Linked DNA regions of Oryctolagus cuniculus. The protein of the gene in region 1 purifies or fractionates together with the protein of each later gene. This does not show direct contact. Links are inferred from orthologs where the notes say so. Each region holds a gene or a part of one and is shown on either strand. Other genes may lie near its edges.

Evidence for each region. The genes of interacting proteins can lie anywhere in the genome.
Region 2: the proteins of DRG1 (region 1) and LRRC41 purify together in Homo sapiens (affinity purification with mass spectrometry; 3 studies listed by BioGRID and IntAct, counting the BioPlex papers as one, with this or other methods). This does not show direct contact. The link is inferred for Oryctolagus cuniculus from reciprocal best matches to the Homo sapiens genes DRG1 and LRRC41.

What each region holds. Positions count from the first base shown.
Region 1 is NC_091452.1:24,558,178-24,565,190, reverse strand, and holds the end of DRG1 (developmentally-regulated GTP-binding protein 1), read right to left. Parts: coding exon 6,887-7,013; intron 5,173-6,886; coding exon 5,005-5,172; intron 4,740-5,004; coding exon 4,617-4,739; intron 613-4,616; coding exon 513-612; downstream 1-512. UniProt on the Homo sapiens protein: Catalyzes the conversion of GTP to GDP through hydrolysis of the gamma-phosphate bond in GTP. Appears to have an intrinsic GTPase activity that is stimulated by ZC3H15/DFRP1 binding likely by increasing the affinity for the potassium ions.
Region 2 is NC_091438.1:126,470,920-126,478,689, reverse strand, and holds the start of LRRC41 (leucine-rich repeat-containing protein 41), read right to left. Parts: upstream 4,951-7,770; 5' UTR 4,898-4,950; coding exon 4,699-4,897; intron 3,124-4,698; exon of another isoform or gene 2,794-3,123; intron 1-2,793. Other genes in the region: UQCRH (cytochrome b-c1 complex subunit 6, mitochondrial), read left to right, coding at 5,341-5,394. UniProt on the Homo sapiens protein: Probable substrate recognition component of an ECS (Elongin BC-CUL2/5-SOCS-box protein) E3 ubiquitin ligase complex which mediates the ubiquitination and subsequent proteasomal degradation of target proteins.

The sequences.
Region 1 (7,013 bases):
CTACCCACATGGGAGACCTCCTGCCCCAATGAAGCTCCTGGCTTCAGCCAGGCCCAGTGCTGGCCGTTGCAGCCACCTGGGGGGTAAGCCAGCAGACAGAAGATGTCTCTTCCTCTAACTCTTTCAAATAAATTCATAAATAAATCTAAGAAAAATAAAGATAAACATCAACTAGGATGTTGTGTGTCACGCCTCTAGCCATTTCACATTCAGAGCAAGCTACCAAGCATCCCTCTGGCATCGGCCTCACTGCACACGCTCTTCCTCGTTCAACTCAGCCCCAAGATTCCGGTGCTGACACATGAACTGCACGCAGCCGACAGCCCTACCGGATTCCTTTATGCAGCTCAACACACAAGGTGAACCAGGAAAAGACAGGTCAAGTTGTTCGGGCGCCTTCCTCTCCCTCCCGAGTCCTGATCCAGCGGCTGCCCCTGCCAGGAGCTGGGAGACGGCGCTGGGTCGTGGCGAAAGCCGCCGTGGCTGTCTCGGCTGACAGGTAAGGGCAGGTTTCACTTCTTCACAATCTGAATGACGTCCTCATCCTCCAGCGTGTGGTCTTTACCCACTTTCTGAGGGTTGTGCTTCACAGAGAGACCCCAGACCAGAGCGCTGTATGGGAGGAAGAAAGGACAGTCAGCGGAAACGCGAACCCCGCTCTGCGCCGTCTGCCGAGGGCCGCACTCTGCTCTCACCGAGCACCCCAGCCCTGCAGAGCCACAGCCCTACGGCAGCGGCTGCCACAGACAGCACACCAGGCAGCGCTCACCTGCCTCCTCAGTCCAACCTAAAGTCAGGGACAGTGCACGTGCGTAACGTCAAGAGAAGAGGTGGAAATTTCAAAGATTCAGTAAACCCGAAGCATGGATTTATTACTAAGAAATACCCTCAAAACATCAGATTGAGATGGCTTGTCAGTCACACAGTGTCAGTTACAGAGGGTTGGAGAAAATTTCCATCAGTGGGTACAGACCAGACTCAAGTCTCCCTCCTCAGCCACGCTATGAAACCCTTCCTTCCCTATCAGAAAACTGTCAATTGGAATGGGCTCCATCCAGATTCTTGGACTATAGGATGGTAATTTATATCCACAAGCCTCCAAAATGCACAGTGTGCTCTGAGAGAGATGGGAATTTACTGAACATAACACTGACTGCCTCCCACAGACTGAGGACTAGGCAACAAGGGGCAAAGAGAAAAAGTGGCCATATTATGTTACATTGTTACTGCACTAAAACTTCTTTAAAATTTTATAGTCCAGTAAGAAATCAACAAAGAAAAGACCACGTTTTAAAAAAAACACATATCAGTAATAGATATAAATTAATACAAATAAAAGTTTGAAAGGTTTATTTATTTGAAAGACAGTTACAGAGAGACAGGGAGGGACAGAGAGGTCTTCCATCCACTGGTTTTCTCCCAAATGGCCGCAACAGCCAGGACTGAGCCAGGCTGAGGCCAAGAGTCAAGAGGTCCATCCAGGTCTCTCATGAGGGTGGCAGGGTCCAAGTACTTGGCCATCATCTGCTGCCTCCCAAGGAACAATAGCAGGGAACGGAATTGGAAGTAGAGAGCAGCTCGACCCACTGCACTCAAAACACTGACCCCAACAAACAAAAATTTTCAAATGCACTAACAAACATATTTAAGTACAGAGTGATCATTTTACAAATGTAAACAGTTCAGCTGTTCTGGAAAGTAAAAACACAGCAAAAACCATTTAAGTATCAATGCTACTTCTATAGTAAAGTCTTCGAAAATTATCAATAGCAACACAAGGGGCCAACAACTGGGACTGTGGGTTAAGTTGCCACTTGCAACATCAGCAATGTATATGGAAGTGCTGGCTGGAGTCCCAGCAAAACTGCTATTGTTCAAGCCAGCTTCCGGCTGATGAGCCTGGGAAAGCAGCCAAGGATGGCCCAAGTACCTAGGCCCCTGCCAACTACATGAGACGGTTCCAGGCTCCTGGCTTCAGCCTGGCACAGCCTGGGCCAATGTGGCCAGTTAGAGAGTAAGCTAGCAGACAGAAACTGTCTCCCCCTCCATCGCTGTAACCCTGCCTTTCAAATTAAAAAAAAAAAAAAAAAAAAAAAAAAAAAAAAAAACACAACACAGAAGATAAAAGAGTTGCTCATGTCCAAAGCAACAAATATTAGATGACAGCCTACAGACCAAAAATCCAAGAGTTCATACCAATATACATTATGGATTAAATAAACAGGGGACAAGTGACAGCTCTAACTCACAGGAGAATTCCAATAAATAAATTTTAAACTTCAAAAGAGAAAGAAATGGCCAGCGCCATGGCTCACTGACTAATCCTCTGCCTGTGGCTCCAACACCCTGGGTTCTAGTCCTGGTCGGGGCGCTGTATTCTGTCCCGGTTGCCCCTCTTCCAGTCCAGCTCTCTGCTGTGGCCCAGGAAGGCAGTGGAGGATGGCCCAAGTCCTTGGGCCCTGCACCTGCATGGGAGACCAGGAAGAGGCACCTGGCTCCTGGCTTCAGCCTTGGCCCAGCTCTGGCCATGGAAGCCATTTGGGGAGTGGACCAGCAGATCTCTATCTCTGCCTTTCAAATACATAAATAAATCTTTAAAAAAAAAAAAAAAAAAGCCAAGATCAGGGACTGGTGTTGTAGTGCAGCAGGTTAAGCCACCACCTGCAATACCAGCCTCCCTTATGAGCGCAGGTCTGAGCTGCTCTGCTTCCAACCCAGCTCCCTGCTAATGCTCCTGGGACAGCAGCAGAAAATGGTCCAAGTGTTTGGGCCCCTGCACCCATGTGGGAGACCCAGATGGAGTTTCAGGCTCTGGGATTTGGCCTGGCCATTGTGTCCATCCGGGGAGTGAACCAACAGGTGGAAGATCTGTCTCCCTCTCTTGCTGCCTTTTAAATAAATCCTTAAAAATAACAATAAAAAGATAAATAAAAGCATCAAGGTCATCAAAGAGTGAAAATCTAAGGAAATACTGGGGGTCTAGAACACTGGAAGGCTAAGAAAAACTAACAATTCCATGCCATGTAGGTTCCTGGAACATAAAACAGACACTGGCAGGAGAAGCAGTACATTTCAAGTAAGATTTGTAATTCAGTGAATGGTGCAGTGCCAAAGTCTACGTCCGGCCCGTGGTATCTGGAGTACACAGTAACGGAAGCTGCTATTGTCACAAGTGGGGTGAGGGGTAAAAGTAAACTCTTTTTGTGCTTTTTTCTGTTTGCCCCTTTTCTGTAAACCTGAAATTAGTTCAAAAAAATTTTTTTTAAAGTATTGAGCTGAGTGCCAGCGCTTTGGCGCAGCAGGTTAATACCCTGGCTTAAAGTGCCGGCACCCTGTATGGGCGCCAGTTCGAGACCCGGCTGCTCCACTTCCGATCCAGCTCTCTGCTATGGCCTGGGAAAGCAGTAGAAGATGGCCCAAGACCTTGGGCCCCTGCACCCGCGTGTGAAACCTGGAAGAAGCTCCTGGCTCCTGGCTTTGGATTGGCGCAATTCCAGCTGTTGCGGCCAATTGAGGAGTGAACCATCAGAAGGAAGACCTCCCTCTCTCTCCCTCCCTCTCTCTCTGCTTCTCCTCTCTCTGTGTAACTCTGACTTTCAAATAAATAAATCTTTTAAAACAGTTTTGAGCTGCTATCAGTAGTGAAAAGTTAAAGAAAAAGATCACAGGGAGGGGCTGGCGCTGAGGCACAGCGGGTTAAAGCCCCAGCCTGCAGCGCCAGCATCCCATATGGGCACCAGTTCAAGTCCCAGCTGCTCCACTTCTGATCCAGCTCTCTGCTATGGTCTGGGAAAGCAGTAGAAGATGGCCCAAGTCCTTGGGACCCTACACCCACGTGGGAGACCCCGAAGAAGCTCCTAGCTCCAGATCATCTCAGCTCTGGCCATTGTGGTAATTTGGGGAGTGAACCAACAGAATGGAAGACCACTCTGTCTCTCGCTCGGCCTCTCTCTCTGTAACTCTTTCATATGAATAAAATAAATCTTAAAAAAAAAATTTAAAAAAAAGATCAAGCCGGCGCCATGGCTCAATAGGCTAATCCTCCGCCTGCGGTGCCGGCACACCGGGTTCGAGTCCCGGTCGGGGCACCGGATTCTGTCCCAGTTGCCCCTCTTCCAGGCCAGCTCTCTGCTGTGGCCCGGGAGTGCAGTGGAGGATGGCCCAAGTGCTTGGGCCCTGCACCCCATGGGAGACCAGGAGAGGCACCTGGCTCCTGTCTGTGGATCAGCGCGGTGCGCTGTCTGCAGTGGCCATTGGGGGGTGAACCAACAGAAAAGGACGACCTTTCTCTCTCTCTCTGACTGTCCACTCTGCCTGTCAAAAATAATAACAATAAGAAGAAGAAGAAAAAGAAAAGATCACAGGGATTCTAAGTTTTAGAGGAGGAGTCAGTACCCAGTGGAGGCCACGATAACCTGGCAGGGAGAATCCATCTTTGTGCTTGCCACCAAGATGAATTAATGAAGGGAAATGAAAGCCCCTTGGCAGCAGCGCCCTGCTGACCTCCGGAGCTCTCCCTGTCCGCCGACACACCGAGCCCTCACGCGGTCCTGAGACTGCATGTGAAGGCAGGGGCTCACAAAGCAAAGGCGGTCCCACGTGCCCTTGCTACTTACTACTTAAACTCCTTGATAAGATTCTTGTGAATTTTCATGCAGAAATCCTCCACCGTGGTCCTCGAGTACGGCAGCACCACCGGGGACGTGTAATCCGGCAACTGGCCCTTGGGCTTGGTGTAACTAGGAGAGAGGGGGCGACAGAGGTTACACCTACTTAGAACGCTTCACATGTGGGATGCCAACCAATCCCGCAGCACCCCGAGGTCGGACCAGGATAACCTCCCCCCTGGGGAAGAAAGCACCCTCAATGTGACCTAGCGATGACGAAGCCGACTTCCGTGTGTCACAGAACACGGCGAGATCGTGCGCAGGAGCTCCAGAGGGATCTTCCTAAGGCAGTCTGGCCTCCCTCCCGCAGCAGCAGCAGCCACGCACAAGGACTCACATCCTCACTAGTTTCAGGTAGTCCCAGATCTTCTCCAACAGGTCATCGAAGTTCCAGCGGTGATGGGCAGAGATCGGCACGCAGTGAGGCACCTTATAGATGATATCCAGTTCCTCAATGGAGATCTGATCAATCTTGTTTAAAACATAGATACAAGGGATATAAACTCTATGAAGCAGAAAAGAAAGAGGGAATTAGCCTGCAGTTGCTGACAAAATTGTGAGTCTAATGAGCAGCACCTCCTCCCTCAGGCCCCAAATCGGGACTTAATCAACAACTCCCTGCTTTAAAAAAGAATGAGTAGAAACTGTTAACCGTGGAGTCTGAGTTGAGAATTCACGCAGGCCCTGTTCACACTGCGCACCACGGGGTTTGTGACTGCCTAAGTCCACACTGCTCTGCTCTCAGACCCAGCTTCCTGCTCGTGCACTTCGAAGGCAGTGGGAGACAGTCCGAGCGTCTGGGCCCCACATCAGAGTCTAGGATGGACTGGCTGGCTCCTGGCTTCAGCCTGGTCCAGACTTGGTTTCTGTGGTCATCAGGAGAGTGAACTGAGGCCCGTGCTGTTGTGCGACAAGTTAAGCCGCTGCTTGATGCCAGCACCCCATACAGAAGTACTGGTCTGAGCCTGATTCTTATTTTTTAAGATTTATTTTATTTATTTGAAAGGCAGAGTTACAGAGAGGCAGAGGCAGAGAGAGAGAGAGAGAGAGGTCTTCCATCTGATGGTTCACTCCCCAAATGGCTGCAACAGCTGGAGCTGCGCTGATCCAAAGCCAGGAGCCAGGAGCTTCTTCCAGGTCTCCCATGTGGGTGCATGGGCCCAAAGACTTGGGTCATCCTCTACTCTTGTTTTTGTTTTTTTGAAGATTTATTTATTGGAGCCAGCGCTGTGGTGAAGTAGGGTAAACCTCCGCCTGCAGGACTGGCATCCCGTACAGGTGCTGTTTGTGTCCCGGCACGTGAGATTTCAACACTTCAGAGAAAGGAAGCATGTTAGAAATCAAGACCTGGTGGCCGGCACTGCGGCTCACTAGGCTAATCCTCCGCCTTGCAGTGCCGGCACACCGGGTTCTAGTCCCGGTCGGGGCACCAGATTCTGTCCCAGTTGCCCCTCTTCCAGGCCAGCTCTCTGCTGTGGCCAGGGAGTGCAGTGGAGGATGGCCCAAGTGCTTGGGCCCTGCACCCCATGGGAGACCAGGAGAAGTACCTGGCTCCTGCCATCGGATCAGCGTGGTGCACTGGCCGCGGCGGCCATTGGAGGGTGAACCAACAGCAAAAGGAAGACCTTTCTCTCTGTCTCTCTCTCTCACTATCCACTCTGCCTGTCAAAAAAAAAAAAAAAAAAGAAAGAAAGAAAGAAAGAAAAGAAAAGAAAAGAAAAGAAAAGAAAAGAAAAGAAAAGAAAAGAAAAGAAAAGAAAAGAAAAGAAAATCAAGACCTGGGGCCAGCATTGTGGTGTTACAGGTAAAGCTGCTGTCTGCAATGCTGGTATCCCATACGGGCATCAGTTCAAGTCCCAGCTGCTCCATTTCCAATCCAGCTCTCTGCTAACGTGCCTGGGAAAGCAGTGGAGGACGGCACAAGTACTTGGACCCTTGCTACCCACGTGGGAGACCCAAAAGAAGCTCCTGGTTTCCAGCTTCAGACTGTCACGGCCATTTGGGGAATGAACAAGTACACGGAAAATCTCTCTCTCGCTCTCTTTCAAATAAATTAAAAAAAAGAAAATGAAGACCAATCCCTCATTTTACTTCTAAAATACCCAAGCCCAAAACTGATAGCAGCACAACTGCAGTTCAGAATCGATTCATACTCCAGTACTGTTTCCACCACAAGGCTTCAAATTCACAAGAGCACAGACCGCACACTCCGTGCACACCTGTTCCCTTCCACCACGTCGATGAGGTCATCAGCCGTGGCATCGCTGCGCAGAGTCACATCCGCATTGTGGATTTTGTATTCAGCCAGAATGCTCTTCACGGTTTCCGCATCCAGTTCGCTCTGTG
Region 2 (7,770 bases), on another chromosome or scaffold:
TTAAAAACAAAACCTGCTCTCACCAACTTCTTTAGTTCTTAGAAATTATTACAGTATAGTGGCTGAAGGGCTTCGTCTCTAGAGTTGGATGAATTTGGTCAAATCCTAACTGTACAACTTAGTTGTGAATCCTTAGACCAATTATTTAACCTCTTCAAGCCTCATGTTCCTCAATTTTAAAATGGAGATTATAATAACTACCTCCTGAAACTGTTGTGAAGATTAAAGGAGATCACAGTTGCAATCTGCTCAAGATAATGTCTTGCCATAAGAAGTTCACTAAATGTTGGCTATTACTCACTTTTTTTTTTAAAGATTTATTTGTTTATTTGAAAGTCAGCGTTCCAGAGAGGGAAGAAGAAGCAGAGAGAGAGAAAGAGAGGTCTTCCATCTGCTGGTTCACTCCCCAACTGACTACAATGGCTGGAGCTGTGCTGATTTGAAGCCAGGAGCCAGGACCTTCTTCTGGGTCTCCCAGGCGGGTGCAGGGCCCAAGGACTTGGGCCATCTTCTACTGCTTTCCCAGACCATAGCAGAGAGCTGGATCAGAAGTGGAGCAGCCAGGACTCAACCTGGCACCCATATGGATTGCCGGCACTGCATCCTGCTACACCAGAGCACTGGCCCCTACTATTATTTTATCCTGTCAGTAGCATCTCTGTTCCATCAAAAACAGGTTTAAGATCTTGGAGCATAGCAAAGCTTCCATTCTAGGTCTCCTTTTATCTTTCCTTGTATAATAACTAAATTTTTTAGATTTATTTATTTATTTGAAAGGCAGAGTTACACAGAGAGAAACCGCCTTCCATTCACTGGTTCATTCCCTAAATGGCCACAATGGCTAGAGCTGGGCAGATCCAAAGCCAGGAGCCAGAATCTTTTTCGAGATCTCTGTGTGGGTGCACGGGCCCAATCACTTGGGCCATCTCCCACTGCTTTCCCAGGTTCATTAGCAGGGAGCTGGATGGGAAGTGGAGCAGTCAGGAATCTAACCCAGCACTCATATGGGATGCTGGTGTTGCAGGCAGCAGCTTTACTCGCTACGCCACAACATCAGCCCCAATAACTGAATCTTGATATCTAAGAATTTAGCACAATTCTTTATACATAGTAGGTACTTAATGTACATGCTGGAAGTGTTACTTCCCTATGCTATTACACTTACCCAGGCCACATTGTAAGGCCATCACAAAACACACCAAACACCAGAGTTAAGGGAAAGGGTTTATTGATAGGGGAAGTCCAGTAGGCTGGAGGAAGGGGGGGGGGGCTGACAGAGATAGATCTGTAGAGAGCACACGTGTGCAGGAAGCAGGTCCTTTTAGACCTTTCTGGGGGGCAGGGAAATAGGAGCAGCAAATCCCATTAGGGTAGGGGTAGAGCTGACACCTGTGGTTGGGCCATGTGGTCACCTGGCTTCTAGCAATGGCAGCAGGGGCTAGGGCCAAGGATGGTGTCCGGGGTGTAGATCACACCACAGATAGGACTGCACCATTTTACTAACACACATCACCTATCATTTGGACTATTGCAACATTTTTTTTTTTTTTTTTTTTTTTTTTTGACAGGCAGAGTAGATAGTGAGAGAGAGAGACAGAGAGAAAGGTCTTCCTTTTTGCCGTTGGTTCACCCTCCAATGGCCGCCACAGCTGGCGCACCGTGCTGATCCGAAGGCAGGAGCCAGGTGCTTCTCCTGGTCTCCCATGGGGTGCAGGGCCCAAGCACTTGGGCCATCCTCCACTGCATTCCCAGGCCACAGCAGAGAGCTGGCCTGGAAGAAAGGCAACCGGGAAAGAATGCGGCGCCCCGACCAGGACTAGAACCTGGTGTGCCGGCGCCTCTAGGTGGAGGATTAGCCTATTGAGCCGCGGCGCTGGCCTATTGCAACATTCTAATTGCTCTCCTAACCTCAGTCTCGCTGTATCCTGCTCTTGGTGATGACATTCCCCTCTTCAAACCCCTCAAAAAGGGTGGGTGTTTGGCCTGGCAGTTAAGATACTGCTTGGGATGCCCTCACCCCACATCAAAGTGCCTGAGTTTGAGCCCCAGCTCTGCTCCTGATTCCCGCTTCCTGCTAACGCTCATCCTAGGAGGCAGCAGGTGACAGCTCAAGTAGTTGAGTCCATGCCCCCAACATGAGATCCAGCTTGACTTCCAGGCTCCTGGTTTCAACCTGTCCCCAGCTCCCACCATTGTAGGGACTGGGGGAGTAAACCAGCCAGTGGATGGGAGCGCTCTCTGTCTCTCAAATAAGAGTAAAATAAATAAGATGCAACTGGAAAAAGGGAAAACATGTTTAAATAACACTTCAAAGGTTCTACATGTTTAAATAACACTTCAAAGGTTCTACTGCATCCATCTCACACCTGGCATTTACAGTCTAATATACTTTATTCCACCTAGGTTTCCTCATTGTACCCTTTCTTGCTGCCTCTACTCACTGCCCCTTCCCCACTCCTTACACAAAGCAATGCTGGTCCACTGCCTCTCTGAAGCCTTTCCAGGCTGTTTCCCAGCCCTTGCTGAGACCTTTATCCACAGGAGCACTGCTTAGCAGGCCTCTTTCTTGACCCTTCTTCTAAAAGGCCTCATTTGATCCACATTTTTCTGTGTGACTCTGACCTGGTCTAGGCACAACTCTTTCTCCTGCCTCTCAATTTGGCTGGTACATACAGCAAGGGAGGAGGGTGGTGGGGGAGGAAATTTAGTAAACTTTCAGTTGATTGTTTTGCGCGCGGGGTGGGGGGTGGGGTGGGGGGAGCAACACAGAAGGAAGTTCTTCCAGACCCTTACCTCTTCTCCCTCCATTCTGCCCCCTGTTTAGCCATCCCCTCTGACAGCCACAGGAATTCTCATGTCCTATTTCAAGCTCCTGTTTCTCCAGTCTTCATAAGCCAGTGTCTTGCTTGCTTCCTTCCAGACTACACCTTTAATGCCTCCTTTTCCCAGTGTGGGGGTCCACAAGCAGCTGCCTCCCCCTTCTAGCCAGGTTTGGCATCCAGGCTGATGCTGCCCCTCTCTGACTTCTTCCAACTTCCCCAGGCCTTTTCTGAGCCCCCTGTTCAACTCCTCAGGGATCTTTCTCCCAATTTCCACCGGTCAGCCTGACCCTTCCCAGCTGTTGGCACAGGGCCTCTCCCCACCCCCACCAGGGTGCCCCACTCCCACCACCAAGGGCCTCCTTGACCACTCTCCAGAGCCTTGGAGTTTATTCTGGAGCCCCAACCCCCTAAACCCCAGGCCTTTCTCCCCCATTCCCCTCCTCACAGTGCAACCTCACACCTCCAAACCCCACAGTGGGGCCTCAAGCCGCCACTTCTGACCTGAGCAGGGCCTTACTCCCAGCAAAAACGCCCCCTTCCCTCCCCTGACCCAGAACCTCCACTCCTGCACCCCTCTTCCTCCAGGCCATGGGCCTGGCCTACTCCTCACTCAGCTCCAGCCCTGGCCTCGGGGACCCCTCCCCCTCACAGCAGCAGACTGTCAGGCTCAAGGCCTCCCTCGACACCCCCCCCCCCCCCCCAGCAGCCAGGCCTGCTTCGCACAACCCTCACTTTCCCCTTTTCACTCCCCAGGTACTCCTCACCGCCCCACCCCACACACGGCCTCCTCGGGCCCATCGGGCAAGCAGGCCTCCCGGCCTCCGCTCCCGGCCCGCCAGACTCCCGGGCCCACAACCCTGCCCGGCCGCTCATCCCAGCGCCCCAACCCGCGCGCCTTAGCTCTTCAGCCTGGATGTCCTCCGCCGCGGCCCGGGCCTGTGCTCCCGGCCGCCCTCACGCCCAGGGCCTCCGGTCACTTCCATTTGGCCCAAGGCCTCAAGGCCTCTCCGCCGCGACGCACCCCTCCCATTCCGGCCGGACAGTCCGGGATATCCCCGACCCGGGGCCTCCTGGGCCCTTCCAGCCCGCCCGACGTCCGAGCCTCCCTCGCTGGCTGAGCCGCCCCGGGCCCTCTCCGCCCGCTCTCCGGCCTCCCTGGCCACTCCGGCAGATCCGAGTGGCCTCCGGCGTTCTCAGACGCGCCGGCTGCTCCGCCGCTCGATCCGCTTGGCACCCGAGGCCGGGTCGTCAGCCCGGCACCGTCGGACAGGCCGCGGCGACCCGAGCCCTTCGGCTTCTCCCTCAGCCCCACTCCCCTGCTCTCCAATCCGCGGCCGCACCCCCGCCCATCGGCGTGGGCTCCAGAGCCTGGCACTGGCGGGGTGTCAGGCCGACGCCTGGGGCCCCGGGCCGTCAGTCGGGCTGGGTGGCCCTGGGCCTGGCCTCATTGCCTTAGGCCAGGCCTCTCAACCTCGGTCCCTGGCCTGGACAGCCGGGCTATCCCTTGCACGTCGGTCCGACATCCGAGGTTCCCCAGCCCGGCTCAGCCGAGTGTCAGTTCGGCACCCACGGCTCATGCTCGCCAGTGTAGCCTCTGTCGCCCGGGCCCTGCCTCCTTCGCCCTCGCCGGGCCTCCTGGCCTCGCCCCCCGCGCCCCCAAGTCAGGCCGCCGTGCAGGTCCACCTGCCCATTTAGTCTCCTTCTTTACTCTGTCCAGCCCTGTCAGTCATGGAATTCATGCTCCGACCCTACAATCGGGCTTCCAGTGCCCGGGGCTGGGCCTTGCCCGGGGCCTCCCGGCCTCGCCCCCCGCGCCCCCTGGCCGCTGGGCCGCCCCCGCTCGTTGCCAGAGGTAGCCCCTCACCCCGCGACTTACCCCACACCCCGCTCTCCAGAACCCCCATATGGGCGCTCACCGCCCGCCCGCACAGCTCGAACAGGGCGGGGGGAGCGCTGGGGCCCGAGGCCGAGCTCTTCGCTGGCGCCGCCTCCCGGGACGTGGCCTCCATGGTCGTTGCCGCCGCTACCTCACAGAACCAGCAACTCCGGGCGCGCCAGGCCTCGGGCGCCGCCATCTTGGGGAGGTGCGCGAGCCCGAGAGCGGCGTCCGCCGACCGCCATCTTGAAAAGGTCAGCAGTTAGGACGACTCCATAAGCAATATAGGTAAGAACAGGAACTGCGCAAAAGAAATGTGGAATAAGTTTGCAGATTCTTCACGTCTTTTAGGACATACTATTTTTAAAAAACCTCTTAGATCAGAACATTTGGGTCTGGAATGACTAAATGGATGTTGCTTCGTAAAGACTCCTCAGGCACAAATACCAGCTCCCCCTACCCTCTGCCTCTGGCCGATAGTACATGCCGATCAGAGCGTGTGTTCGCGACTACGAGGAGTATGCCGCACTTCCGGCCAGATTGCCGGATATCCGTCGAGTGACCCTTACAAGTCCTTCTTGATCCCCAACTGGAGTGGGTACCGTGTGGCTGCTGCTGTTGAATCCAGAACCGTAGGCGGACATGGGACTGGAGGATGAGCAAAAGATGCTGACCGGGGCCGGAGATCCCAAGGAGGTAAGACAACGAGATCGGCTCGACCCTCTTGCCTTTGGGGAGTGAAGCGCAGGACCTAGCCCGCCAAAACACGCTCGGGGTCCTCTTGGCCTCGGGTTCCTCCCTGGGGTTTGTAGATCGAGCGAATTTCCTCGACCCTTCCTCGAATTCGCCTAGTGGCTCTGGACAGGTGGATGACTAGTCCTTCTGTGGCCTCGGCTTCCCCATTCTATAAATGTGGAAATGTGACGAGATCGAAAATGCTGTATCAACTTTTGTAAAAACAGTATTGGTTTGGGAGATCTGGCCTGATCCTGGTGGAAACTGGCTTTTCTTTCTTTCCTGGGGCTGGGGCTAGGAGAGAGGTTGTGTCTTGGGGAACAGGGTAGGAATGTGGTGAAAGGGAGTTCTTCCCCAGACCAGACGCCGACATAAAGAGTGTGTGTGAACTGCTTGCTATTCCGAGTGCTTTCTATGTACTAGTTCATTTCATCTACAAAGTTGCTGATATTTTTAAAAATAGTGTGTCCTAAAAGACGTGTTAGTACCATTTGTTCAGGCGAGGAAAGTAGCACAGACGGGTTAAGTATCTTGTCTAAGGACACACAGGAAACGGTGAAGCAGGAATCGAGCCCAGCCGCACAGTTCTGAAGCCGGGACTCAGCCACAGTGCCGCACAGCTACGCAGACGTCACTGGCTTCGCGTTTCCAGCCTCATTCCCTGTATTTATTTGAACACTTCAGGACAGCCATTTATCCCATTTATCCCTTAATTTTTTTCCTACTCTTATTTTCAGAAAGAGCTGGAACCAGCCTTGGAAAGTTCAGTGGTACCCACAACTTTTTTTTTTTTTTTAAGAATTATTTTATTTATTTGGCCGGCGCCGCGGCTCACTAGGCTAATCCTCCGCCTAGCGGCGCCGGCACACCGGGTTCTAGTCCCGGTCGGGGCGCCGGATTCTGTCCCGGTTGCCCCTCTTCCAGGCCAGCTCTCTGCTGTGGCCAGGGAGTGCAGTGGAGGATGGCCCAGGTGCTTGGGCCCTGCACCCCATGGGAGACCAGGAAAAGCACCTGGCTCCTGGCTCCTGCCATTGGATCAGCGCGGTGCGCCGGCCGCAGCGCGCCGGCCGCGGCGGCCATTGGAGGGTGAACCAACGGCAAAGGAAGACCTTTCTCTCTGTCTCTCTCTCTCTCACTGTCCACTCTGCCTGTCAAAAAAAAAAAAAAAAAAAAGAATTATTTTATTTATTTGAAAGACACAGAGAGAGAGGTAGAGACAGTGCAGAGAGTACAGAGTGTGTGTGTGTGGGGGGGGGGGGTCCTTCCATCTGCTGGTTCACTCCCCAAATGATTGCAAGAGCCAAAGCTGAGCTTATCCAAAGCCAGGAGCCTGGAGCTTCTTCCCGGTCTCCCACGTGGGTGCAGGGGCCCAAGGAGTTGGGCCATCTTCTACTGCTTTCCCAGGCCCTAGCAGAGAGCTGGATTGGAAGTGGAGCAGCCAGGACTTGAACTGGTGCCCATATGGGATGCCAGCACTGCAGGCTGGAGCTTTAACCTGCTGCACCACACTGCCAGCCCGGACCACCACAACTTGAAAATAAAGAAAGCTAGGGTGTTTTATGAAGAACCCATCATTGCTGGGGATTATGTCTTTTTCTTTAACATGACCTTCATTTTCTCACTGACTGGAAATTTTACATGAAGCAGATCTGTGTTTCCAAAATGTGCCATGATATTTTTGACACAGGTTTGTCAGTGCTGTAGCACTGCTAATAAGTGGGATGCTATAAAGGTCTTATATAATATATAATATTTATTTCTAGTTTCTAACTTAAGACAGTGTGATTTTTGGTTTTGGGGAGAAGACTTTTTCAGTATGGATTTAAAAAAATTTTATTTATTTATTTGAAAGGCAAAATGAGAGATCTTCCATCTGCTGGTTCACTCCTACAACAGCCAGGGCTGGGCCAAGCTGAAGCCAGGAGCTTGGGCCGTCTTCTACTGCTTTCCCAGGAGCGTTAGCAGAGAGCTGGACCTGAAGTGGAGCATCCAGGTCTCAACTGGCACCCATCTGGGATGCGGGCATTGCAGGAGGCAATTTTACTCAATATGCCACAGAGCCAGCCCCTCAGTGTGATTTTTTTTTTTTTTTTTTTTTTTTTGACAGGCAGAGTGGACAGAGAGAGAGACAGAGAGAAAGGTCTTCCTTTGCTGTTGGTTCACCCTTCAATGGCCGCGCACGCCGCAGCCGGCGCACCGCGCTGATCTGATGGCAGGAGTTAGTTACTTCTCCTGGTCTCCCATGCGTTGCAGGGCCCAAGCACTTGGGCCATCCTCCACTGCACTCCTGGGCCACAGCAGAGAGCTGGCCTGGAAGAGGGGCAACCGGGACAGAAT